Linked DNA regions of Drosophila melanogaster. The protein of the gene in region 2 purifies or fractionates together with the protein of the main gene of each other region. This does not show direct contact. Each region holds a gene or a part of one and is shown on either strand. Other genes may lie near its edges.

Region 1 (7,346 bases), on a different chromosome or scaffold from region 2:
CTTCCGGAATTTGTTTGATAAACTCCCAGCCCGGCTGCAGGGAGCTTATAAACTGACTTTCCAGCTCCGCAAAGTTATCCTTGTTCTGAACACAATTGATGTTAATCTGGCTGGCTTCAGCGCTTCCCTCGAACTTCTTGCTGCAATTGTCGTTCTTGACGAGCGGCCTCTTGGTTTCACCCGGATTATTCTTGTACTTAATGAGGCCTCTGGTGAAGAGGCCAGAAGGCTGGGCGGTCTCCTGGCGCTGCACAGTAGCAGCACAGTCAACGCAGCCAGGACACGGCGGTGTGTACACATAGTCGGTCTTAAGGCTCCAGTTATCGGCAAAGGACTTGGACGCAGCGGAAGCGTAGTGTCGCAGTGGTCCAAAGTACCAGTACTTATCCTTTGCCGCATCGATGTCCTCCAGCAGACCCCAGGACAGACCATTAAGACCGAATATGGGCTTCAATTGGCTATTGCTGCCATCTTCTTCATTGATCACATCAAAGCGGATCACACTCTGGTACTGGCTCTCATCCTTGAGCATAGGTTCAAGGGCTTTCGAAAGACTTTTCACATAGTCGACGTCCTTGACGCCAAAGATGTTGATGCGCTTGGATGCGGACTGCACCGAACGTCCCAGCGGAAGGATGGTGATCGGGCAGAGATTGCCGCGCCTACGCATCAGCCCAGTGACCACCTCCGATGAGGTGCCGTCGCCGCCGGCAACAACAATGGCATCGGGTAGCGTTGCCAACTCCTCCACGTAGGTTTTGGCATGACCAATGTGATTCGTCCGAAGGATCTCCACCGAATATCCAGCTAAATGCAAAACCGGCTCGCAGTAGTTCTTAAACTGAAAATCTATGGCTGGGTTATCATCTTAGTCAGCTGTGTGCCAGCTACTTACAAACTTCTCCGATCTCTTCTTGTTGGCCACCGGATTCATGACCACCAGTACCTTTTTGGGGCGATCCGATATCCAGTTGGCCTGAATGTTGGAGGCGAATTCCCGCATATGTTGTTCAATCCTGGAGAGCAAATAAGGGGGTTAAAGTTGCGTCAAATTTTCACGGTTTTCTGAATGCATACTCGATGTGAGTTTTCAGCGCTTGCAGCGCGTACACAGATACTGCCGCTCCGAACGTGCATTTCTTCCAATTATTCCGAATTACTCTTAAATAATTCATATTTTCAATTTCGACCGATGATTTTGATTCCACATGTATTGGTTTGGCCGCACACAAACAGCTGGATTTTAGATCGTCAAGGGTATTCCAGCCAGTTTACATAAGCTTTAAAATAACAGAAACGTTTAGCGCTGAAACGGGAACACTGAAAATTGCACACTCTGTTACTTAACAGTGTATCTTAATCAGTTAGAAACAAATTTATTTATTCAAGTTTAAACTCAACGTTTTATTCAACAAGTCATTTTTGTTCCACATTGTCATAGATATCCTCTAAGCCTGGGAGGTTTCTCAGTTTTTCTACAAAAACATCATAGGTCTTTTGCTCTTCGGGTGATAATTGCACTACATTCTGAAAGATAATACTATTTAGATAAAATGAAATTGAATGAAATGAATGATTTACCATTGGTGAAAATATGTGTTCACTGTTTTCCACGGTGTATCCGGCTTTTTCCAAGTTCCTACTTAAGCTAGTTAAAACCACTGGACTGCATAGGAACTGTATGTAAATGTAGGAAAATTAATATTTATATAATATAAATGAAAAAAAAGAAAACATACATTGACGGAGCCATCGACATTGTCAACGACTTCGATCTCTTCGGCGCCCAACTCTATAGCATCATTGGTGGCTTTATCCTCCAAACTGGATTCATTTTGAAGTTTCGCAGTATCATAGCGAGTTTCAATCAATCCAAAATCCTCGAATAGGCTTCCAACATCCATGAATTCGCCTCTAAAAATCTCATAGGTAAATTATATCCAACAAAATGATGCAAATTGAGATATTACCCGGCTTTTTTGATCATCGGTGTCGCATCCATTTTAACGCCAGAAAAGTTGTCGGTATAGAAAATGCATATGAGGTACACGTTTCTTTTGTACTTGATGTCGAGTCGGTACTTCTTTAGTTGCACTTTGCTGGCCTTGAATTTGTTTAACGTATTTTGTATGGTGCCACTGGGCATGTTTTGCTTGAGGGCTCTTTCTATTTCCGTTCGCAAAAGGGAGTTAATTGCCGGATCCGCGGAGTTTCCCTCCTGAATGGCCATTCGAATTTGCCTCGAAATTTTTGCAAATAGCGCCGCTCGGGCCCCATCTTTCAGTGCTTTGGTGTGCTTGATATTGGCCCATTTGGAATGGCCTGCCATTCCACGAATCGGTTGCTGGGCTTGGAATATGCATTTTCCAAAATGCGTGGAAAATGTGCACACATTTCGTAACATTTTAAGTTCTAGTGTTGTGATCTAAAAAGTGGACTAGTGTTACCGGCGCAGAAGTTCCTAAAAATCCGTGTTGCTATAAAAAATGTGGTCTAAATTTTCAAATATATTTGATTTAAGTTAAATGGGGTATTTTTTTTAATTTGTTGTGAGAACATGGGGATGTTTTTTATTTATTTAGTTTTTTCGTTATGTGCTAACAAAAGAGAGATCTAACTATCTTTGTACAAGAAAGTATATAAAATATGCAATTGAAATTAAGGATTCCATAATGCACGCAAGACCACACTAAAGGACATTTCAGCAAATTTTCATTAAAAATTTTACCGCCGACTTTTTTTTTATTAAAGTATGGCGTTTTACATAGAGTAACAACATAAATTATAATATCTATCCCGTCACTTAAAACCCCATTTCACATTAACATAAATTTAAAATATACATTTTTGCATCTATTCAATTCTATACAACTTGCAGTTGAACTTGCTTTTGGGTCAAACAGCTTGCAGCACTCTCGTAACGAATTAACTTATTCTGATGAGTTGTGGTATCATTATCGTAATCCGAATTAACAACAAAAACATCGACGACGTTTTCAATGGTGAACTGCTCATTTTGGAGCGTATTCGTCAATACCAAGGGTGTTATTTTCACGAGGCCCAATTTAGATGGACAGACGGACAATGGAAATTCGGCAGATTCGCCACTTTGTAGAAGATTCAGCATAAAATCAGCACAGCCCGTGTATTGACTATCGGGCGAAAACTTGGCAGCCAATCGCACATTCAGTTTCATTGGATGCTCGGATGTGTTCGTCACGCGACAATTGAACGTGAATATCGTGCCGATTTTAATGGTGTTCTTCGCATCCAGTACTTCCAGGCGGAGCGTTTTGCATTCGAATGGCTAAAAAATGAGAATATTATTTGGGATCTATTTTATTTACAACTTGTACACCTACCAATCGCTGTAGCTGACTGGTTTGCAGTCTGCCCTTCTCGCCCAGATTCGACCTCCAGACGATGTCCAGTTTACCCACATTATTAAATTGCCGCAGGGTATCTACATTCTTCGCAATATCTCCTTTGGGCTGCACGCAAGATACGAAATTGTATGAATTTTTTATAGATAAGAGAATTCAACTCATCTCACCTTGATGCAATAGAGGAACTGACAACTATTGTTGGGTTGCAGCATATGTTTCACCGTGAATACGGATTCCCCATTTGGCAGCGTGTTCAGTGGTGTGACGGAGTAGTCCTCGGAGCCATCCAGCTCCACCTTTTCCAGGCAGAAGGGACTGGTGGTCACGTTTTGGATTTGTGCCTCCAAGTAGATTTCGTCGATTTCCGCATTGTAGAACTTGGTTTTCACATCGAGTGGCTTCAGCACTTGGAACTTGAAAAACTTTCTCAGCGATTGAGCATAGCCCGCAGGAGTCGAGTAGTTCACTTCGCAGACGAGACTGAAAGGAATTCAGGATATACAATTAATGATATTATTGGGGCTTCCAGAAGACAGTACTATGTACTGCTTTAGATTATATGGAGGAACAAGCTTGTGGTTGCAACTATCTTGTGCTACTTACATGTGTGTTCCGATTTCCTTCACCTCGTATCGTATCACATCGTCAATGGTTCCACCCGGCGGCAATACCACCGGCGACTTGGCGTTCTCGTGCATGGATAGGTTGATGCGTGACGTGTTCGACTGTAGATCCGCCTTGACGGTGACGCATTCCACCGGATTCGGGGTGGTATTGTGGACGCAGATGTAGCTGGCGAATGTTTCGCCCAGGTAAATGCTGCCGAAGGACTGCGGCAGCAGTAGCACCTGGCCGGCCGCCAAGGTCTCCGCACAGGCACCGGACATTCCGTCGCTCTCCTGGGAGCTGCTAAATCTCTGGACCAAATCCGTGGGCTCGCAGGTTACCACAGGTCCAAGGCCCACCAAAGTGGGCCGCATCAAACGCATAACTAAGAAAACAACAAAAACATCACACTTTGTCCATAATTTGCATTACAACTAGAGTTTACCTTTGAGTGCCACCAAGTGCGCATCCGGTTCAACCATCTCCATGTTGTAAAATACTCTAAGAAGTGCTTAACTTTAACAAAAATAAATCAGCAATTTAATTTACTTAATGCGAAAAACTCTGTTTACATCGGTGCGACCAAGTCTATTGAACTTTATTATACCAGTCTTTACAGAGGAGTACCCCTAACACACCATTTTGATGAGAAAATAATACCAACAAACAATAAATTTGAAAAACTAAAATTATAAAATTAGTTATTAAGAAAAGGACACCAAGCTTTGTGTTCGCTTATTTATTTTGTAATAAACAATACATATTTACATCACAATCTAGTACGAATTACTTTCAATCCTTATCCTTGCAAATTCGAGATGTCATTTCTTGTAGGGGTTCCAATTCCTTGGCCGAAATCATGTCAAATTCTTGCACAAAGTAGTAAAAATGTTTGTAGCAGGCATTCACGTGAGCTTCCTGAAAGTGGTGAAAACATTTAACAGTTTATAGAGTTAATTAAAGTAACTATTTAGTGATACGCACCGCTCCAATGCTCACAATCCGATCGAAATGGTGAATATAGACGTGGACGAAAACACGAAAAAGACGGGTTAAAATTTTACGACTTATTGCTATGAAGTTCTTGGGAAATGGAACATCTGAAAGGAAGTATGGTACACATTAAATAACTCATATACGAAATATGCGAGAGGGCTTCTTTAAAAGGAAAGTATATAATTTCCTACCCGTGGACACTGGAAAAACAGCTTCGTTGTTAATTTGTGTCTCAATCCAGTCCATTAAATGCTCAATGTACTTTTGGGCTGAAAGGGCGGTTGGCTTTTTGTATCTGAAATCGTAGCTACATTAGTTTATGCTCTTCGCAATATCATTTCCTGCACTTACAGATCTCCATCGGCCCATAAGTACTCATATCTGGAACCGCCAGACATCGTGGGACACGTAGTTTCGTTGCAAAACTCCGAAACGGTGCCGTAGATCAAGTTTATGCGATTGAAGAAGTCCACAACTGAAATATACAACGTTGGGTATACTGTATATATTGTATAATTCACAATTCTCACCGTGCACAGCTAGCCAGTCGTTGAGATTCTCCCCTTGCGGCAAACGCACCACTTGCCGCAGATTAATCCCGGATTGCAAACTGGCCTGGGCTTGCTTATGTAAGGAATACCTAATGGTTCCGGAGGCAAATGGCTTTTTTGGCCTAAAGGTCTGAAAATTAGTTTAAAAATACATCAACTGCATATGATTTTGTTATTGACCAAACACACCTTGCCCTTTTGGAAGAATTCTAAAAATCCATTTAAAGCCATAATATCTTGTTGGAGATTCTGTTGGTTGTGAGAATATTTTGGCACATATGTAAGCGCTGCTTACAGCACAAAAGTTTGTCAATTGAATAACTATTAATGGCTGTTTATAAATAATGTTTACATTTATTCAGTTCCTTAGACTATTCTGTATTTTTATGCCGATGGAGAGATGGGAGAAACCATTGATAGGCTTTTCACGACTAAGTTATCGAACCCTTAGAATAATCGTTCCATATATCACTGTTCCAGTGTACCAATTGGTTTAACACCCTTAAATAACAAATATTTAATTAGTTCTTATTTATCATAAAAATACTTTAATTTGGCTTTAATCACTATACAAATGAAACAATAAAAAGCTGTAAAATGCAATATAGAAAATAACAAAAATTTCTGCAGTATTTTCGTAATAATATAAATAGTAACCGTCGTACATTTATTATAAAAGTAATATTCTTAAGCTAAAAATAAGAATGTAGGTTATTCTTGTTTGAGGATTCCGAGTTCCTGAAGTAACTGGTCATTGTTGGTTGGAGTGTTGCTTTCGCTCAACTGGTTATTCCATTGAATTAACTGCAATAAAGATGAGAATAAATAAATTGGTTGGACGTGGCATGATAAGTTATATACCGACGCGCTCCAGTTCCGTACGCAAAGCAACTACAGCCTTCTCCCGATCCGCCACCAGTTCCTCCAGGTACTGATACCGCAGCTTCTTGCGCGCCCGGCATTCCCTGGCACTTTGTCTGCTGCGTTCTGCAAGGGAAAATACACGTTATATAAAATTCCATAGGAAATAACATGTATTAGTGTTTGGAAACTTTGTTACTATTAAAAATAATACCGTTGTTTAAGTATTATAAGTGGAAATTAATGTTGTTCTTACCTAGTTTGGCTTTCATGTCCAATTTTTCAGTAGACGTCTTTCTTCCTGGTTTTCGTCCCCTTTTTCCACATTCCTTGCGCGTCTGCTTATAAATATAATATAAAATGTAAATATTTGACGATATCCCAAAAACAATTTGCTTTCAATATTCTTATTCGCAAAAATTTAGTTCCGATAAGTCAAACTTAAAATCTTTTTTGAAAATAGGCGCTTTTGCATGATAAAAATCACATATGTATATACACGCATACACAGAAGATAGCTTATATATGTGTATATACATACACGCAAGGCCTTACTGCGCATTAGAACAATTCAGATCATGTTCAAACAAAAAGACCACATCTTTTATATTTAATAATATATTACCACTTGTGTTTCCTCCGTTATTGACATTTTGTTGCTCTGTATCTCCATATCAGCCATTATAACTCTCAAATAATACAACAACTTTGCAACTCTTTGTTATTATGCGTCTTTCGTAAATACTCAAGGTAACAATAAACAAAACCACTACACACAAAGGTGCCAATCGAAATATATCTTAACAGAAACGATGGAATGGAACACATTAAGGGAACTATTTGTATTTTATATTTAAGAACAAAAATATAAATAAAGTTTAAATCGTAACAAATTTTCTTTTAATGACTTAAAATGATAATAGTCATTATATTTAAATAGTTAAAT
Region 2 (6,959 bases):
ATAACATTTGGTAATATAAATTTAAGATATTTGCTTGACATAAGTTTTCCATTTCAATCTTCAGGTTATCGTGGCAACCTGTCATGCAAAACGGTCCTGCAGCTGGACAAGTTCGCACCCTACGAGGGTGTGGAGAAGGATCACCTGCTGGAGCGGCGGTTTCAGGACATCACCAATGACTACGACAAGTCGCCGCCGCCCACCGCCTCGACCACGCCCACGCACTATCCCAGCCTGAACAGCATAATATTTGAGAATGGCAGCAGTGGCAACCTGGGCGATCTCAACGGGAACACGAAGACGGATCTATGCGCCGGCCTGCAGAGAAGTGGCGGCGGATTGGGGGGCAATGCCGGCAGTGGTGGCCACCTCATATCCAATCTCACAGCCGCCCACAACATGTCCGCCGTGAGCAGCTTTCCTATCGATGCCAAGATGCTGCAGTTCTCCACGGATCAGGTAGGATACTTCTCCCATATATCCTAGACTTTTGCAGACATAAAGTGCTATGAACTTCTTCTTTAGATCCAGTGCATGTGCGAGGCACTGCAGCAGAAGGGCGACATCGAGAAGCTGACCACATTCCTCTGCAGCCTGCCGCCCAGCGAGTTCTTCAAGACCAACGAGAGTGTCCTGCGGGCCCGCGCCATGGTGGCCTACAATCTGGGCCAGTTCCACGAGCTGTACAACCTGCTGGAGACGCACTGCTTTTCGATCAAGTACCACGTGGACCTGCAGAACCTCTGGTTCAAGGCCCACTACAAGGAGGCCGAGAAGGTGCGTGGCCGACCACTGGGCGCCGTGGACAAGTACCGTCTGCGCAAGAAGTATCCCCTGCCCAAGACGATCTGGGATGGCGAGGAGACGGTCTACTGCTTCAAGGAGAAGTCGCGCAACGCTCTCAAGGACTGCTACCTGACCAACCGATATCCCACCCCCGACGAGAAGAAGACGCTGGCCAAGAAGACCGGGCTCACGCTCACCCAGGTCTCCAACTGGTTCAAGAATCGTCGACAGCGGGATCGCACGCCCCAGCAAAGACCGTGAGTTGAAATCATAGATTCTCATGTCCTCATCCATAAAATCCACTATATAACTTATCCTTTTAACTATAACCCACATCCTATCTTGAACACATAAAATAGAATTTTATTTTAAGAACTGAAAATCGTCAAAGAATCAATCAAAAGATTAGTTGTAATTAGAGATTATTGACTATTTCCTAAAAAACAACTTTGAAAAGAGCTAATACCATTTGAAGTGTAGTTAGATTCTCTTCACATTTCTTTTGAACTTGGGCCAACCAAGTTCGTTAGGAGGGGAATCTAGGGCGGCATGGTAATTTCCACTTCCTCATAACTCGTAAAACAATTCATTCAACACTTGAGCGTGTTGCGCCCCAGAACCAAACTCCGAAATCCGAAATGCGAACGAATATAATCAATTGTTCTGGAATTGGCATTAAAAATCGTTTGTAAGTGACCGTTCCGTACGGCACTTGTGCCTCCAGGCCGCCCACTTGAGCGTGTTTTATGTCCAATTTCGGCCGGCTCCTTGCACGGTCCTCTGCATATTTATAGAGCCCAGGGACTCGGGACGTGCCCGACTCCTAACGCAGCGCATGCGTGTAGCATGTGCCCCTCATCCTCCTCACCATTCCCATTCTCCTCCTCCGCCCGCATCCCGCTGTTTGATCGCATCGCCTCTACAGGGCGTCAAATTGCAGCACATACCACACCCGAGCTCACAAGTGGAGTAAATGTGTTCTTTTTAGCTGCTCGAAAACTCACAGTCGCACTTCCATGACTAGAACCATTTGGAAAACGCAGAGCGATCTTAAAAAATGGAGTCATGCTTCACTTACATTGATAATTGTTAAGGGAATTTTAGGGGGATTCCATAGATAGTTCCACTGCCTGAAACTAAAACATATATTTATATATAGTAACTCTATATTTTAAGTGCTATGTTATAAATATATTTAAAAAACTAATTGTTTGATTTTAGGGACATCATGTCGGTGCTGCCCGTGGGCCAACTGGATGGCAATGGATTCCCGCGCATGTTCAATGCTCCAAGCTATTATCCCGAAACGATTTTCAATGGGCAATAAACTGCGATGTGAGGAGGCTGTTTTTGTGTAAATAAAGTGTAATGCGTTTGTATGTTAGGACACAGGCAACTGGAAAGTGGCCATCAAATGGCCATCTTTGTTAGCTCTAGAATTAACCAATTTTTGCTTTATGTACTGTATAACTCGAATAATAAACAAATGACATTAGATCAACAAATGAATTTGTGTGCATTTTATTTGGGAAATTTGGGTTATGTAAAAGAAAAATAATTTATATCCACTGTCGCTGAAAATCATATGGAAAATCAATATGGATAATTTCTCTTAGCTATAATTTTTATGGGCTAATCAAATGGAAAATGCTGGCCTACGAATAAAAGGGATATAATATAGGTAAGCCAGAGACAATATGTTCATATAGTGATTATATGTTAATATATATGTTGGTTAAACGCTAGTTTCTTTTCCTTTGCCCTAATCATTATTTTTGTAAAAACTAATACAAACAATTGGCCAAACTAGTCATTTGCGCTAACCGAATCTTAAAACTTAACACTAAAATCATATTTAAAATTTATGTACCACATATTTCAACGCAACACATTTTAATCTGCGTTACGCCATGAAATATAGACATTTTTAAGAAGAGAAAATTTAAGAAAATTAGGAAATAAAGAATCCTAAATCAAGTTCCACAGCACAAGTTCCAAGTCTGGTCTCAAAAAAATATATATATTAGATAGTAAAAATCATTATATAACACATGAATATTTTTGTGCTTGGACTTTTTGTTTATTATGAAAATTTCGGTGTAAAAAAATTTTGCAAATGCAAAATAGTAACGTTGAAAAGAACTTTTAGCAAGCAATACGGTAAACGGATCAAAATAAGATTGTTTAAAACCACTGAAGTATTGGCGCCATTCGCGGCCGATAGCTCTTACTGTGGCAGCAGCGATAGTGACATCCCTGAAAGCCTATCGAAAAACCATCAAAGAAAGACATGTCACACAAAATAAGCGAATATTTCGCAAATGATCCGCCCAGTTTCTTCGATGAGCTGGCCAGCAAACCCAAGGGCAACAACTTGTCAACAGAAGGGAGTTCCAGCAGCGCCAGTAGCACCAGTTCCGCCCCAAACATGATGTCCAACACCTTCGTCGGGTTCTTCCAACCTCCTGAATATGTTGAGACACCTGAGGCAGGAGAGGATTCTATAAAAGTCGGTGACGACGTAAGAAATCTGTGGGAGTTGCCGCGGGAAAACGAGCCCGGTAAACTTATTATGCCGGGCATCCATCTGCAAACTGACTTGGTGCGTATAGAATGCTTCTATACTTCTTTTTAAAGGTAATGACACTTTTACTTACTGACACTTTATGACTGTTCCAGGCAGATCCCATCAGCGTGGCGGTGACTCAACACCTCGGAGAGGCCGAGTTGTCCTACCGCAAGATCCTTCGCGTCGATGATGTCACCCAGGACGAGCGCGGCTTGAGAACACTAATCCACGCCGGTTGCTATCGCACTGCCGTGAATCTTACGGGCCGTCTTCTGACCATTTACGGTCAGGGTTACGGGCGATCTGGTCAGCCAGCAAAGCATTCGCCCCACTCCCTGCAACTGTGGTTCACGCGCCTCGCGCTGCTTGCCAAGTTGGGCGAGTTTGAGCTGCTGAATGCCGAGGCAGAACCTTTTGGCCAACTTACCAGCCCCGATGTCTTCTACGACTTCTATCCGGAGATGTACAACGGGAAAAGTGGATCCATAGCCTGTTTTTCCTTCCGGCTCTTGCTTGCAGAGCTGCCCATATATCTGGGTAAACCCCATGTCGCCCTGGACAGACTTTCAGAACTTCATGTGACCACGCGGGAAATCAAGGAGCACTATTTAAGTCTGCACAACAAGGCGGCAGAGGAGTTTTGGCAAAGGCGATGCGAACGGGTTTTGCATTCAATCATCAACTGTGGATTGATGGTACGTTCAAGAAAACTTAACTGTAGTTTAAATGAGTGTAACATTGCCCATTTAATTCTTGCAGATGAAGAAATTCAGTATGATAGACGACATAATGGAGGGAACGCTTTTAAAGCGCTCCAACCTGAGCAAGGAGGATCGGCGATCCTTGTACTCCGCTTGGGGCCGCATTTATCTGCAAATTGGTGACATATTTGGAGCGGAGCAGAAGATTGCCGTCTCGAGGAGATTAAGGGAGATGTAAGGCCCTACTCTAACCAACGCTATTTTCAGTTCAATGATATGCTTTGTTGTAGAAACTCCGCGCCTGATCTCAGAGACTTGGTCGATAAGGGATTAATAGCTGTGGCCAAGAACGACTTTCCCGAGGCCTATGTGATATTCCAGAAAGCTCTGCACCTGGACACCGGCAACACAATGATCCTGAACAACATGGGAGTGTGCCTTCTCTACGCCGGAAAGCTAAAGGATGCTATAAATCTGTACGAGCGCGCTATCAACCTGAATCCCCAGAAGTCCCTCAACGAGAGTTTGCTGGTCAATCTCTCGACGCTGTATGAACTGGAATCAAACAACTCCAAGGCGAAAAAGTACAACTTACTGCGCCTAATTAACAGATACAAACCGGATCTCAACATAAGCATAGAAATTTGTCTAAAATTGCAGACGATAAATTAAAGTAGAGATATTGTTAGACATTCCAAGCAAGCGGAACTTTCGGTCAAAATAGGTGAGCCCTTCTTTGAGTCCACTAGAAAAGTATTAGAGAAATAAAATAATGTTATAGATAGTTTCCTATCTGTTTAATTTAATTACTTCAAATTTAATAGATTATAAAACAAATACAACAGAACTATCGTACACGAAAAGTTGCGAATGACAAACGATAGTGCGGAAAGAGCAGGCAATCGATACCGTGCTGCCTATCGCAGCAATGCCATCTCGATTCGACTGCTCCGAGTTTCGTCGCTGAAAAAGAATTTGAGAAGAACTTATTTTTAATTTCCAAAGAAAATCGCGGGAATATTTACGCCAAGCGCACGCCTAAATGTTTGCAAACACGTAGCGCGTGCTTTTCAGACTAGGATAGTTGAAACTAGGTGAGTTTTGTGGCGTTTCAGGGCGTTTTAACGCAGTGCGGCCACACGATGCCCAGGCAGTATATAAAATGGAAAATATTGATGTGCCTGTGCCTCGGTGGGTGCAAAAAAGAAAGTGTAGAGAAATTTTCGTTGCATCCAGAATGTTGTTTGTTTACGCCGTCGAGCATCGAGTTACTCGAGTTCACCTGGAATTGGGCGTCGCAAAGTTCTCCTGATTGATATTATTTGCATTTTCTTTTAATTATAAGCGACTTTTTGTGGCTGCACTGAAAAAGCGCGCCATTATTTTAGTGCTATGACGTAGCTGTCGAGGGCCACGAAACCAAGTGTAATTTTTTCGCAATTGTTTATATGGCGTGCATAATGCCTGCAGTTGGTGCGGGTGTGTGTGTCAGCGGAGGTGCGCTGGTGTGTGTGCGTGCGAGTGCAGCAAATTATTTTGTATATTTTTTATTCCGCTTGTGGCGGTGCGCATACGCTTGGTACACGCTCGTCAAAACATATACACATAACCCAGGCAGAAAATCTCTATTCTTTTGCAATTTGTTTTGATTTCTCATTCGTGCGAGAGCAGAGCTGTGTTCGCTCTCTCTGGCTCTCTCGCTCATGCGCGCCTTCTTAGCCTCGTTTGAGTGGGTGTCGAATTAACTGTTTTCTGGCCAAGGGCTTCCTTCTGATTTTTTTTTTTGGATTTATCAGGCCAACATTTAGTGTTAATTTCTACTACTCCCCACGATCTCCACGCATCATTCCGTCCGACTCTAGCGTGCCCCCGATCTCGCTCCGCTGAGTGGCTGTTGTCGACTGGCCGATTAACGGCAGTTATAGCTCTCTGGTGGTGGTTCTGGTTTCTTCGATTCGATTCCGGTGCGCGCTCACTTTATTATCTGCCATCGTGACAATGTCGCTTTGGATATTTTCTAGCCAAAGGGAGACTTGGCGGTTTTTTATCCTATATTTGAATTATTTTTATATGCAAGAGGTTCAATTAGGCCACTTTGCTGTACTATACTTGGTGATAGTCACGTCTTCAAGCCGTAGTTTTTTTTTTCCGAAATTAAGGGGTATTATATTGATGGTATTTAATGGTATTAAATATCAAAAAATAAAGCTGAACTAAAAAGAAATATAGGTGTTCAAGACGTGTTGAACAACTGTTATTAGTATTTAGCACTGCAACTATAACTATTGTTTTATATGCATATATTGATTGTTTAATATATAACATCGATTAATATTTAACATCCGATTAGTCATCATAAGATATATTAACCAAGAGAATAGCTATTTTCCGAAAATTCAATTTGCCATCACTGGCCATTGATTATCTTTTCTTTTCACTGTCTTGCTCTCACTCTCTTCTTTGATTGAAAACACTTGTTTTTGTTTACCTTGCTCTTGCAGAAATATTTCGCAGCATGGCAGCTAACAACAACAATAGCATCATACACAACCTGGGCGCGGGGACGGAGGGCTTGCTCTCCTCCGTGATTGCGTCGACGGGGACTCCTGGCATGGGATCCTCGCCCGTGCCCTCCAGAGCATCTTCATCGTCCGCCTCCTCCGCCGCACAGAGTGCTTGGGATCAATTGACGGCGAGTGCCTCCAACAACATGTCACCTTCACCCACGGCAGGAGCGCCCACGGTCACGGGACCCATTCTACCAGACAATCTGGGCGTAGGAGCGGGCAGTTCACCGGTGGCCAGTTGCTCCTCCCCCTCGACGCCCACGAAAACACATGCGCCCTCACCGCTGGAGAGCATGGGCCATACACCGCAAGGTCCGCCAACCTTGGGACCCGGTG
Region 3 (10,048 bases), 1.2 Mb from region 2:
AAGACGCCTACGTAAGGTTGATTCAGCTTGACTTTGCGACGGAGTAGATCCATGATGATGGGATTGGATACCTATTAGCACATCGGATTTTTTCAAAGCCAAGGAAAAAAGTATTATTAAGGCGTACTTTTAAATGTTGTAAACACTAATAAGAAGTCTAGCTCATTAAAAGCTTACTGACTAAATCAATTCATGATAGTGAGTAGTTATTCATCCAGTCAAATGAAACCTTACCTCCACTATCTTCATAAAGCGGGGAAAGAGAGGATTCTTGCGCATGGCCAACAACGGAACATGTGGCCACACGTCCGGCACCGCCACAGTTGCCGGAAGATGGGTATCTTGATCGGACATAAGATCGGGTCCCATAATAATATCCCCGTTGGAATCATCCCGCTTGCGGCTGTAGAAGCGCTGCACCATCAAATTGGCTCCGTGGAGCCGCTGGAGGCGCAACGACCGATCCCGGCAGTATTGCATCAGGGAACTCTGAATGGGACGATTCCGGTTCCACACTGACGACGAGGCGATGCCACGCATCATGGGGCGCACTCGGATAGCGCGGGCTAACATATTGAAAGCAATATCCACTCGCAATTTACTTAGAAATAACTAGAAATGGTAGAAAAACAATTTGCAGTCCAAATGTGTGGTGAGTGATTATGTGACGGCTGGTGAAATGACAGCGGCTGACAGTGCTGCAAAACGATTTCTTCTATTGTTGCACAGTGGTACCGGTGAAATTTTTTTTTTGTTCTACACCGCATGAACCCAATGACGTCGACAACGTTGTCCCTTATTTAGAGCATTTTTTTAATTTTGGAATTAATTTTTTGAATTTTGTAAGTAAAAAGCATCCATTATAAAATAAATCTTAATTTTTTGTTTTATATGTAAATTCGGTGATTTAAAATTTCCGAAGCTTTGTGTTTTAAGCCCACAGTACATTCAGTGTTGATAGGCGGCGAAATACAAACGAAAGGCAGGAAAATATTGTCCAAGTTTAAGATTTACCAAAATTGTATTTATCTGCATTTAATCATGGTTTCCCGATTCGACCAACAAAAGACCAAGCACCAGCTCTTCCACGTGTCCCTCAGCCTCGCCACCATCCTGATCTGCATGGCGTACATGCAGTATCGCCGGAATTGGGCACATCTCGGCAGCTTCTGGGATTCTCTTGTCGTCCCTATTGTTTTCCTCGGAGAGCTGCTAAAAGTTGTTTTGGCTCGCTTCTACGGGAAGGTTGAGGATGGCGTCCTAACCGCCAAACAGCGCCAGAAAAAGAACTCGTACTTTACGCCGCGGGAGCTCCTCGGAGGATTCACCCTGCAGTTCCTGTGTACACTCCTCTACGCCTTTATCTGCATAATTTTGGGAGCCCCGGTGCTGGGCAACTATGAGCAGACCTTCGTCTTGGCCTTACTGATGACCTTGTTGACGGTGTCACCCACGGTTTTCCTCCTCGGTGGCGGAGGAGCACTACAAGTGTGCTTCTGCGAGAAACCGGACTTTGTGACCAAGTGCGAGGACACGGCTCTGAATCTGTTCAAGTACAATGCACTGGGCGGTATTCTGGGAGCTTGGGCCGGGAGCGTGGTCGCTCCACTAGACTGGGGACGTGACTGGCAGGCTTATCCCATTCCCAACGTGATCGGAGCACTGCTGGGAAGCGCTCTGGGCAATATATACGCTTGTACGCATGTCCTCTACGCCACAGCTCGAGTTTACATGACCAAGAAACGCACTTAAATCTAATAATAAAACTCTTCATTCTGCCACCAAGATTATTACGTTGCGCTGCCACTGAAATCCACTCATCCACTAAGAACCACGTCATCATCCCGTCTAGTCAGCAGCTTAGGAACTACCAAAAAGCAATTACCACTTTAATGTTACATGTTTAATCATATTACTAGCGTGGATTATTAATGAATTCTTTTTAAATCAATCAATAATAAACTAACAAATTATGAATTTAACCAAAGACGGCTTATAAACCATAACACCTAATTACTTTCCCAATCAGGACTTATTTGTTTTATGCGCAGCTTCTTAATCAAGGAATAGGGTACTTTTGCCCGTGAAATATACATTTTCACATGCAGAGGGGCAAAAAGCTTACAAATTTTTTAAACTTAAACTCAATGAAATGACAATACCATTTTTAGCATATCATAACTGATAGACGATAACATATAATTTAATGACACCACTTGACAAACATCTTAAGCTTTAACTGCCATTACAAAGCTCTCATCCTCCAGTAGACACCGTTGGCCCACATAGTTTTCATTGGGCTCCCAGTAGTCTTCTTCATCAGCATCCGCCAGGGGCTGCCAAGCATCCTCATTATTTAGCGCTCCCTCAGGTAGTGGAAACTCCCGTCGGTTATCTAAGGTGTCGTCAGAGGAATGTCTTCTTCGTAGGAAAGAAGCTGTTGGCGCCGCTGGACAGTGGCCAGTCTCAAATAGTTTGTAAAGCTTTATGAAGTGCAGGCCACAGGCCAAGCGCTGCCCCTCCTCCCTAGCTACTAGGGCGCTCCAACTTAGGACCAATGTGGCGTGCGGTACATAGTCAGCTACACTTGCGTTGAACTCTTCCGTGGAGATGTTGGTATTGAAATACACCGTCTCTTCGTTGGTGAGAAAGCTGTGCGGGTCGTGTATCGGAGGCATGTGCTGCTCCACTTGCTGAGCGTGCTGGGCAGGCAGGATCTTTAAATGGGAAAGTCGCGAATGAAGCAATGTTTTAATCGATGGAATGTCTTTATATTCTTCTTGTGTTTCTTTCTCGAGAAGGCGGCACTGAAAATTGCAGCAAATGGAAGACTTGAGGCACTGTGCTCCAGCCTGTCCCGGGCTGACTCCCATACTGTTCATTACTGTAAAAAAATAAATATTAATTAAAAATCTCTTATATTAGTGAAACGTTTTGAAAGAAACTACATAAGTTCATATCAATATATAAATAATTGCATCTTTTAAAAATCGTATTATTATTAATTAACTTACTGTGTAACCTATCGGGATTCAACTTAAATTCCGTGGAGTACAATGAAATAGAGTTGATGTACACTTCCGTTCCCTCTACTGCATGTTGGTTCCTAACGTTCACATCTAGTCCCAATTCATTAGTAACCGCATTGCTGACCACACAAGTGGAGTCTGCCTGCAGGCAACTCTCTACCTGCAGCTGCCAAATATGCCGAACCAATCGATATTTAATGGGTGAATTTGCCACCGTTGGCAATGAGTAATAAAATAGAAGGCGTAAGGTAAAGGGTCCCGCCTGGTGTGGAGCCTGCACCCACAAGGAGATGGTTTGAACTTGCTGGGCGTCTAAGGCAGCCAGCCCAGGCCGGTTAAGTAATCGATATACTCGCTGTCCTCGAATTTCCTTATCCTTTACTAGCTTGTCATTGGAAAGATTGCGAAGAGCTTTACAAACAATGTAAAATGAAAACAAATATTCAATAATGAAATGTATTATTTACTCACAACTCATCATAGCCAGTGGCATTTGGCTGTGCTGATCCAAAAGGGACACACAGCGCGGGTTATCGCATCCCAAATAGATCTCTTCAATCGGAGCAATTCCCATATTCCGAAGAGTTACATGAACGGGAACAATTTCACCAGCCAACAGTCGATTGGGAACGGGAGTAAAGCTTACATTCATGGCGGGCAGTTGGGGAACCAGTTTGATAGTTAATCTGTTGTCCATAACGGTCTGCGATGATTGCTTGGCATTGTGAGGCCTGATCTTTTGGGTTTCAAACTGTAAGGTACCCAGGAGACTGGCTGCAGGATCCGCACCGGCTGCTACTCGACAAACGACTCCCAAAATACTCAGACGTCCGGTCAACTTTGGAGTCAGCTTAAAGTGTAAAGTTTCTTCGGCCTGTTCGGCCAATTTGATGGAAGCCATGCAGCTCGTTTTGATTGCTGCTCCTACTGCTATTTTATTAGCACTATCCGATGATTCCTCATACGTACAGGCGTTGGAGAGCACCTCATCATTGTCCAGTGTGAGTTTCCACAGAAGGTCAATCTCGGATAGGGCTATTCTACATTGAACGCTATTTGAGAGGGTTACAGCAAGCTCAATGGGTTCACCTTGCACGGCAACTGGAGTTTCCAATGCAGGCTGCTGTTTAGTGTACAAATATCTCGAGGGTTTAAAGACAAAGGGCTTATTATTGGCAGCAGTGATCACAAGCATCTCTTCAATCTTGTTCCAAATGGGCTCATCTGCAGTCAGATTTGAGTTGATGTCTATGTTAGTCGCCGGCACATGAGGTGCCACAGCCGACGGTGATTGCACTAAAGTAAGAACACGAACGGAAGATTGCACTACTTGGGGTAAGGCATGTGGTAGTAATCCCAGCTCAGGACTTCGCTTAACCAGTTCCTGAAAAATATATTAGTAGTTGAATTTGCAATAGTTTAATAAAATAGTATTTAATAAAGGCAAATTGTATGAAAAAAGTATTTTACAAACTTACATTCTGAGTCTGAATGTACTCCTTTAAGAAACTGGTCTGCTGCTGTGCACTTTGAAGGCTTCCAGGTCTCAGTAAATGGGCGAAAGATCGACTGGCCTCCTCAAGTTGTTTCAGCATGTAGGCCTGCTTGGCCACCGTATATTGAATGTGATCCTCAGCCAAGCTCCACTCACGCTTTTGGAAAACCTGATAGGCCTGGCGATAGCAACGGTATGCATGCTTTCTTTGGCCAGCTCGGGAATAACGATTCCCGGCCAGCACGATATGGAAGGCATACTTCCTGTGCATTGGCGGTTGGGTCACCAGAAAACAGTAGGCTGCCTGCTCCAGCAAGAGGGCTGAGCGAAGATCTGATTCCTCGTTGGTCATGCGAATCAATTGCTTGGCTACTTCACTATATAGTCGTGCTGTTTTTAAACATTCCATGCTTAGGAGCGTAGCTCTGGTCGCAAATTGCTGCAATCTGTAAAAACAAAATAATAGAAAAGCTGGTAAACAAATCCCACAGTTAACTTACTTGCACACTGTGAGATAACACACAATTGCATCCTCCATGTAGTCATATGTCTTTCTTTGAGCAGTACCCAGCATGAAGGCGGATAGGGCAGCCATTTCCAGGGCTCCCGCATAGTATTGCCAAGCTGAATCCGCATTGAAGTCTCGCTTGGCTTGGTGGTAGGATTGGAAAGCTAAATTGTAGTGACCAAACATGAAGTAGAGATCGCCCAACTTTCGTGTTTGGAGCTCCGCAGATTCATTGGTGTAGCTGTGAACAAAGCGGTTTAACATTAAAATTTAAAAATGGGAACAAAATAAATCTTACATGACTGCATTTTGATTGTTTGCTCCTGCTCCCGGCTTGCTAGTGACAAACCATCGTTTCGTAGCGCTCAATAGCGACTTGCTGACACCCTTTTTGTTCGTCACTCCCTCGGCGAGAATAGCCACCAGATGCTCGATATAGGGAATCAAAGCTCGAACAGCATAGTCCTGCACAAAGTGTCGTAGGTTGTCAATGTCTCGACTGGTAAGACATCCGCCGTGAGGTGCATCCGCCTCTAATTCATTTCCCCAAACATTGGGATTGATTGTTTGAGAGGCAATACTCTCGCTGCTGATGCTAAATTTCGAATTAATCGCCTCTGTGGCGCTTTCCTGCATGGGACTCAGCGGATGAAGCATGGCCAGATCGCTATCTTGAGCACTGACTCCTTCCAGGAGCTGTGACATTTGCATAGCAGGCATACTTATTACAGAAACCGCTTCCTGTGGCGATTTCGGTGCACTAAGATCAGTGGAGGGTAGATTTGGATCACTTTTAGGCTGTCTTTTAATAAACGTTGCCCAGTGATCTGGAACCTCAGCTGCACCCTGAGAATCCATCGAGTTGATCGACACCAAAAAACACTTGCTGTCTCCGAACGTGGATTTGAGCAGCTCGAATCCCTGCTGTGCTTTGGACAAGTCTCCCTGGCTAGCCTCGTGCAGCACTACGTAACTATTGAGGACCTCGGTGGGATGGAACCACTTGGGCAGTTTTTGGGGCGTGATGCTCTGCATCTGCTGCACACGTTGTCCCAGTTTGTGGGCGGTCTCCACGATCTGGGGATCTGCGCTGGATAGCACTAGCAAACAACTTAATAGATGGCGGGTGAACTCATGATCCGCCGGAAATTGCACAGTTAAAAAGGTCTCACGCCACTGCTCGAACCATGGTTCCGATGTGGGTAACTCAAGGTCTATGCCAGCTATGGGAGAATGGTAAATGAGTTACCAAAAGACATTTTTGCATCGCTTAAACCCTTACCTATGGTGGCCAGTCTGGTTTTGTCATTATGGGCGTTGGTCACAGACTCGTTGAGCATCTTCCTGGCCAAAATTGTTTGCGGCGGCCGCCAGTCCACATCACAGAAATTGAGACGGAGTCCACGCACCGATACACTCGTTCCGGACACGTCGCGAAAGTGTGCTAAAGAAAGGAGTACAAATGCATTTAATTTTTGGCCATTTAGAATTTGTTGGCAATTTAAGTTTATTATCAACAATGTTAGAATCAACGTTTACCAACTTCTGAGCTTTAAACATGTCATCCACACCATAACAACCCTTAAACAACTACTTTGTATGCAAAATGTTAAATAACCATGTCGAATCGGTTGAAAGTTCCATAGAAAAGACCTATTTTCTTAGCCGCGTCTATGCCTTGTTTACCTCACCCGCACGCCCCCTTACACACAAACCATTCACTATCCCATTCACTCACCATCATTTGGCAACTTTGCGAACGGCTGCAGGAGTTCCACGAAGGAGAGGTTGTTCCGGTGGCAAATCTCGTCCGCCTGTGGACTGGACAGCACGCCGATCAGCGGCGAGAAGATGTTCCGGATGATGTCGCGAGCATTGTAACTCTGGCCCGTCAGGTGCAGCATTACTCCAACTATTTACAAAGAAAATACAGAACACCACACAACAATTGCAGGGAGCAGCTGGAGATGGCACTTGATGCAAGTTTGTATCGAAACTATCGTTACTGGCAGAAAGTCGACAGCTGTTTTTTGCGCAGATATCGATCGCTCTTCCAATCAGAAAATATATGTTCCAATTTTTATTTGACTTGGTTTTTCTGAAGATCATTATTTTGTCATATGTGTATTTTTTGTAAACCATTCCGTAATGCCGCTGAAACTACAGCATCTAGGTTTTTTTTTATCGTTAATTCGTGTAAAGGCCAGTTGTAACGAAACGAAATTATTATTAGTATTTTTTAGATCTTGTAAACTCGTTCACCAATCGAACTATTGTCGCGTTTTGACATTCCGCCACTTGTCGTGGTGAGTTTTTCGCCACCACTTGCGACACCGAACGGTCCCTCTGAAGCGCGGGAAAGAAGTCAGCTGTCACCATTTGTGCGAAGACAAGCGGAATAATTGCGATAAATAAAAGCAGAATAGCGACAGACAATTGCACAAACCTGATTCATGTTGTAACCAAAACAAACTACTAGCATTACAGTACATATATCAAGTATTTGCTGAGCGTTTTGCAGGTGAATTTCGCAAAGCAATTCCCTAGTCGGACAAAAGCAGAACCTCTAAAAAAAGCGCGCAGTCGAAGGAGTCTTTAAAATATCGGTCTACGCTCTGCAATCTCCGAGGTACAGTCATGGCCAAGGTGCACATCACCAACGTGGTGGTGCTGGACAACCCGAGCAGCTTCTTCAACCCCTTTCAGTTCGAACTCACGTTCGAGTGCATTGAGGAGCTAAAAGAGGATCTAGAGTGGAAGATGATCTATGTAGGCTCGGCGGAGTCCGAGGAGCACGACCAGGTGCTGGACACCATATACGTGGGACCTGTGCCTGAGGGGCGACACATCTTTGTCTTCCAGGCGGATCCGCCAGACGTCAGCAAGATCCCGGAACCGGATGCGGTGGGCGTTACCATTGTTCTGCTTACCTGCTCCTACCGCGGCCAGGAGTTCGTCCGCGTGGGCTACTATGTGAATAACGACTACGCTGACCCGGAGATGCGCGAGAACCCGCCAACAAAGCCTCTTTTCGAGAAGCTGACGCGAAACATCCTGGCCAGCAAGCCGCGCGTCACCCGATTCAAAATCAATTGGGACTACGGGCACATCAACGGGAATGGAAATGGCGTGGAGAACGGCCATCAAGATGAGATGGCCACCGATGGACCGTCCACATCGGAGGCGGCTTCAGCAGTTATCCATCCCGAAGATGATAATAGTTTGGCCATGCCAATGGAGAACGGAATCAAGGCCTTGAACGAGAACTCCAACTCACTGGCCATGGAATGTTGAGAGCTGCCGGCAGTCCGAACAATGACCACACTAACACACTGTCTCTCACTTAAACCAACATGGGCAACAATGGATAACTTAGCACTCCTGGTCCTCGTCCCTCTTTTTACTTCTAAGTAACTAAGATTAAAGCAAAAATATATGTATACATTAAATTATTTCACAAAACATGCATTTTCTTAGCTATATTTGACTTTTCTGTGCGCACTTATTTGTGTTTGAAGAATGACTAATACGTTCATGGCAAAGTTCAGTTGGCCGTGTTCAATAGAAATGATACCCTTTTTTTTATTAAGAAACTCTATTATCAATTATTGCACTTGTACAGCATTAATGCCTAAATAGAAATAATAAGCATATTCTTGAAAGAAACTCCGTTTTCAATAATTGAATTTTGTACAGAACTGATTTTTTGTCTAAATGATTTATATGATTTTTTTGTTGTTTAAAAACAAGTTAAGTAAAAAATGGGAAAAATTCACATCAGATTGGAAGAGAAATTTAATATTATCAGGACGGCATTTTATTATATTTAATTATATCTAAAAATATTCATAAACCTGAAACTTTGTTTTATTATAATTTTTTATATTATTTTTTTTTAATATAATCTTTGACTACACATTTTCTTGAAATTCCGTTAAATCAAATAATACTGGATCAATTCTTCCTTTGTGCAATATTCAGCAACAATTACATTAGAACAAAAACAGAAAAAAACTCAAATCTCAAATCTTTGCTGTACAAAATTTAAGTAACAGACATCTTAGGATGCCTATCAGCCAACACGATCTTGCCCGTTTTGCCAGCGCCCCGGGCAGTTGCCCTCGGATCAGCATGAGCAACTCGAGCAATACGTGGAGAGTACTCCAGAATTTGTGAAATGCTTAAACTGATCCATCCTCCTGATCGTCCTTAGGTATCTCAGCTATTCGGATCTAGATCTGGGCAGCAAGTTTTGCGGCGGAGGATCCCTGAGGACGGAACCTAGCTGCGATCACTGGAAGTTCTGCGAAAAGGTGCCCAATCGCTCAGACGTGGAGGCCGACTCATTGGGCTGTCCTGTGGGCCTCGTCTGCTCAAATGCCACTGTAAACAATCCCTGCGGATGTTCTCCCAAGCAGCAGGAGGCGAATGTTCTTAACTTCGCCACCTATCTGAAGGCATTCGCCTTGATTTATGTCCTGCCCGAAACGGACTGGACGGCAGAGAAGATCGACATGCTGCTGGAGGAGGGCACGGATTTATTTCGGGCCAGCTCGGATGTGAATCAAGGGCACGACGACCCCGACGAACACAAACTACTGGAGCCGGAGATCTACACCAACGAAGAGAAGCGGATCAAGAGAAATTTCAACCTAGAAGGCCACACCTTTACTTTGGCATTGGAACCCCGCTATCTAGGGGTAGGATCAAAGCCCCTGGACCAGCAGCCGCCGCATATCATCAAAAATCTAGGGACAATTTTACAGAGTTTCTTCAAGTCCAGCCGCTACTGTCTTCTTCTCACCCGAGTGGGTCACCTGCTCATCTGGCGGCGTAGACGGGTTTTTTTCGTCCTTGACGTTAAGGGCAGAGCAAAGGACGACCTGGCAACCGTAAAGGATAACGGAGTGGCAATGCTGGTATGCCTGAAGTCCATTGATAATGTTGTCCATCTGGCCAGTAACTTGAGCGGAATCTCTCCGCGAGATGAGTTCAGCATCCGGGAACTGGTGGTTG

The links.
Region 1: the proteins of CG11396 (region 2) and CG4953 purify together in Drosophila melanogaster (affinity purification with western blotting; one study listed by BioGRID). This does not show direct contact.
Region 3: the proteins of CG11396 (region 2) and l(3)76BDm purify together in Drosophila melanogaster (affinity purification with western blotting; one study listed by BioGRID). This does not show direct contact.

What each region holds. Positions count from the first base shown.
Region 1 is NT_033779.5:10,263,944-10,271,289, reverse strand, and holds CG4953 (uncharacterized protein), read right to left. Parts: upstream 4,588-7,346; 5' UTR 4,481-4,587; coding exon 4,438-4,480; intron 4,378-4,437; coding exon 3,990-4,377; intron 3,867-3,989; coding exon 3,554-3,866; intron 3,492-3,553; coding exon 3,363-3,491; intron 3,308-3,362; coding exon 2,864-3,307; 3' UTR 2,542-2,863; downstream 1-2,541. Other genes in the region: Mulk (Multi-substrate lipid kinase), read right to left, coding at 1-841, 896-1,016, 1,078-1,175; CG4957 (uncharacterized protein), read right to left, coding at 1,417-1,527, 1,582-1,677, 1,740-1,914, 1,971-2,329; Mob3 (MOB kinase activator 3), read right to left, coding at 4,785-4,910, 4,977-5,092, 5,180-5,283, 5,340-5,463, 5,519-5,669, 5,729-5,770; REPTOR-BP (REPTOR-binding partner), read right to left, coding at 6,251-6,343, 6,405-6,526, 6,657-6,741, 7,026-7,082.
Region 2 is NT_037436.4:20,784,220-20,791,178, reverse strand, and holds CG11396 (uncharacterized protein), read left to right. Parts: upstream 1-3,041; 5' UTR 3,042-3,076; coding exon 3,077-3,388; exon of another isoform or gene 3,389-3,465; coding exon 3,466-4,050; exon of another isoform or gene 4,051-4,114; coding exon 4,115-4,290; exon of another isoform or gene 4,291-4,346; coding exon 4,347-4,728; 3' UTR 4,729-4,839; downstream 4,840-6,959. Other genes in the region: Six4, read left to right, coding at 65-459, 526-1,043, 2,008-2,113; Pcif1 (phosphorylated CTD-interacting factor 1), read left to right, coding at 6,572-6,959.
Region 3 is NT_037436.4:19,611,510-19,621,557, forward strand, and holds l(3)76BDm (lethal (3) 76BDm), read right to left. Parts: upstream 7,013-10,048; 5' UTR 6,937-7,012; coding exon 6,771-6,936; intron 6,477-6,770; coding exon 6,315-6,476; intron 6,256-6,314; coding exon 5,331-6,255; intron 5,274-5,330; coding exon 5,025-5,273; intron 4,971-5,024; coding exon 4,508-4,970; intron 4,414-4,507; coding exon 3,501-4,413; intron 3,441-3,500; coding exon 3,015-3,440; intron 2,885-3,014; coding exon 2,229-2,884; 3' UTR 1,918-2,228; downstream 1-1,917. Other genes in the region: Lon protease, read right to left, coding at 1-71, 235-573; PIG-F (phosphatidylinositol glycan anchor biosynthesis class F), read left to right, coding at 1,042-1,752; asf1 (anti-silencing factor 1), read left to right, coding at 7,670-8,326; ms(3)76Cc (male sterile (3) 76Cc), read left to right, coding at 9,098-9,183, 9,246-10,048.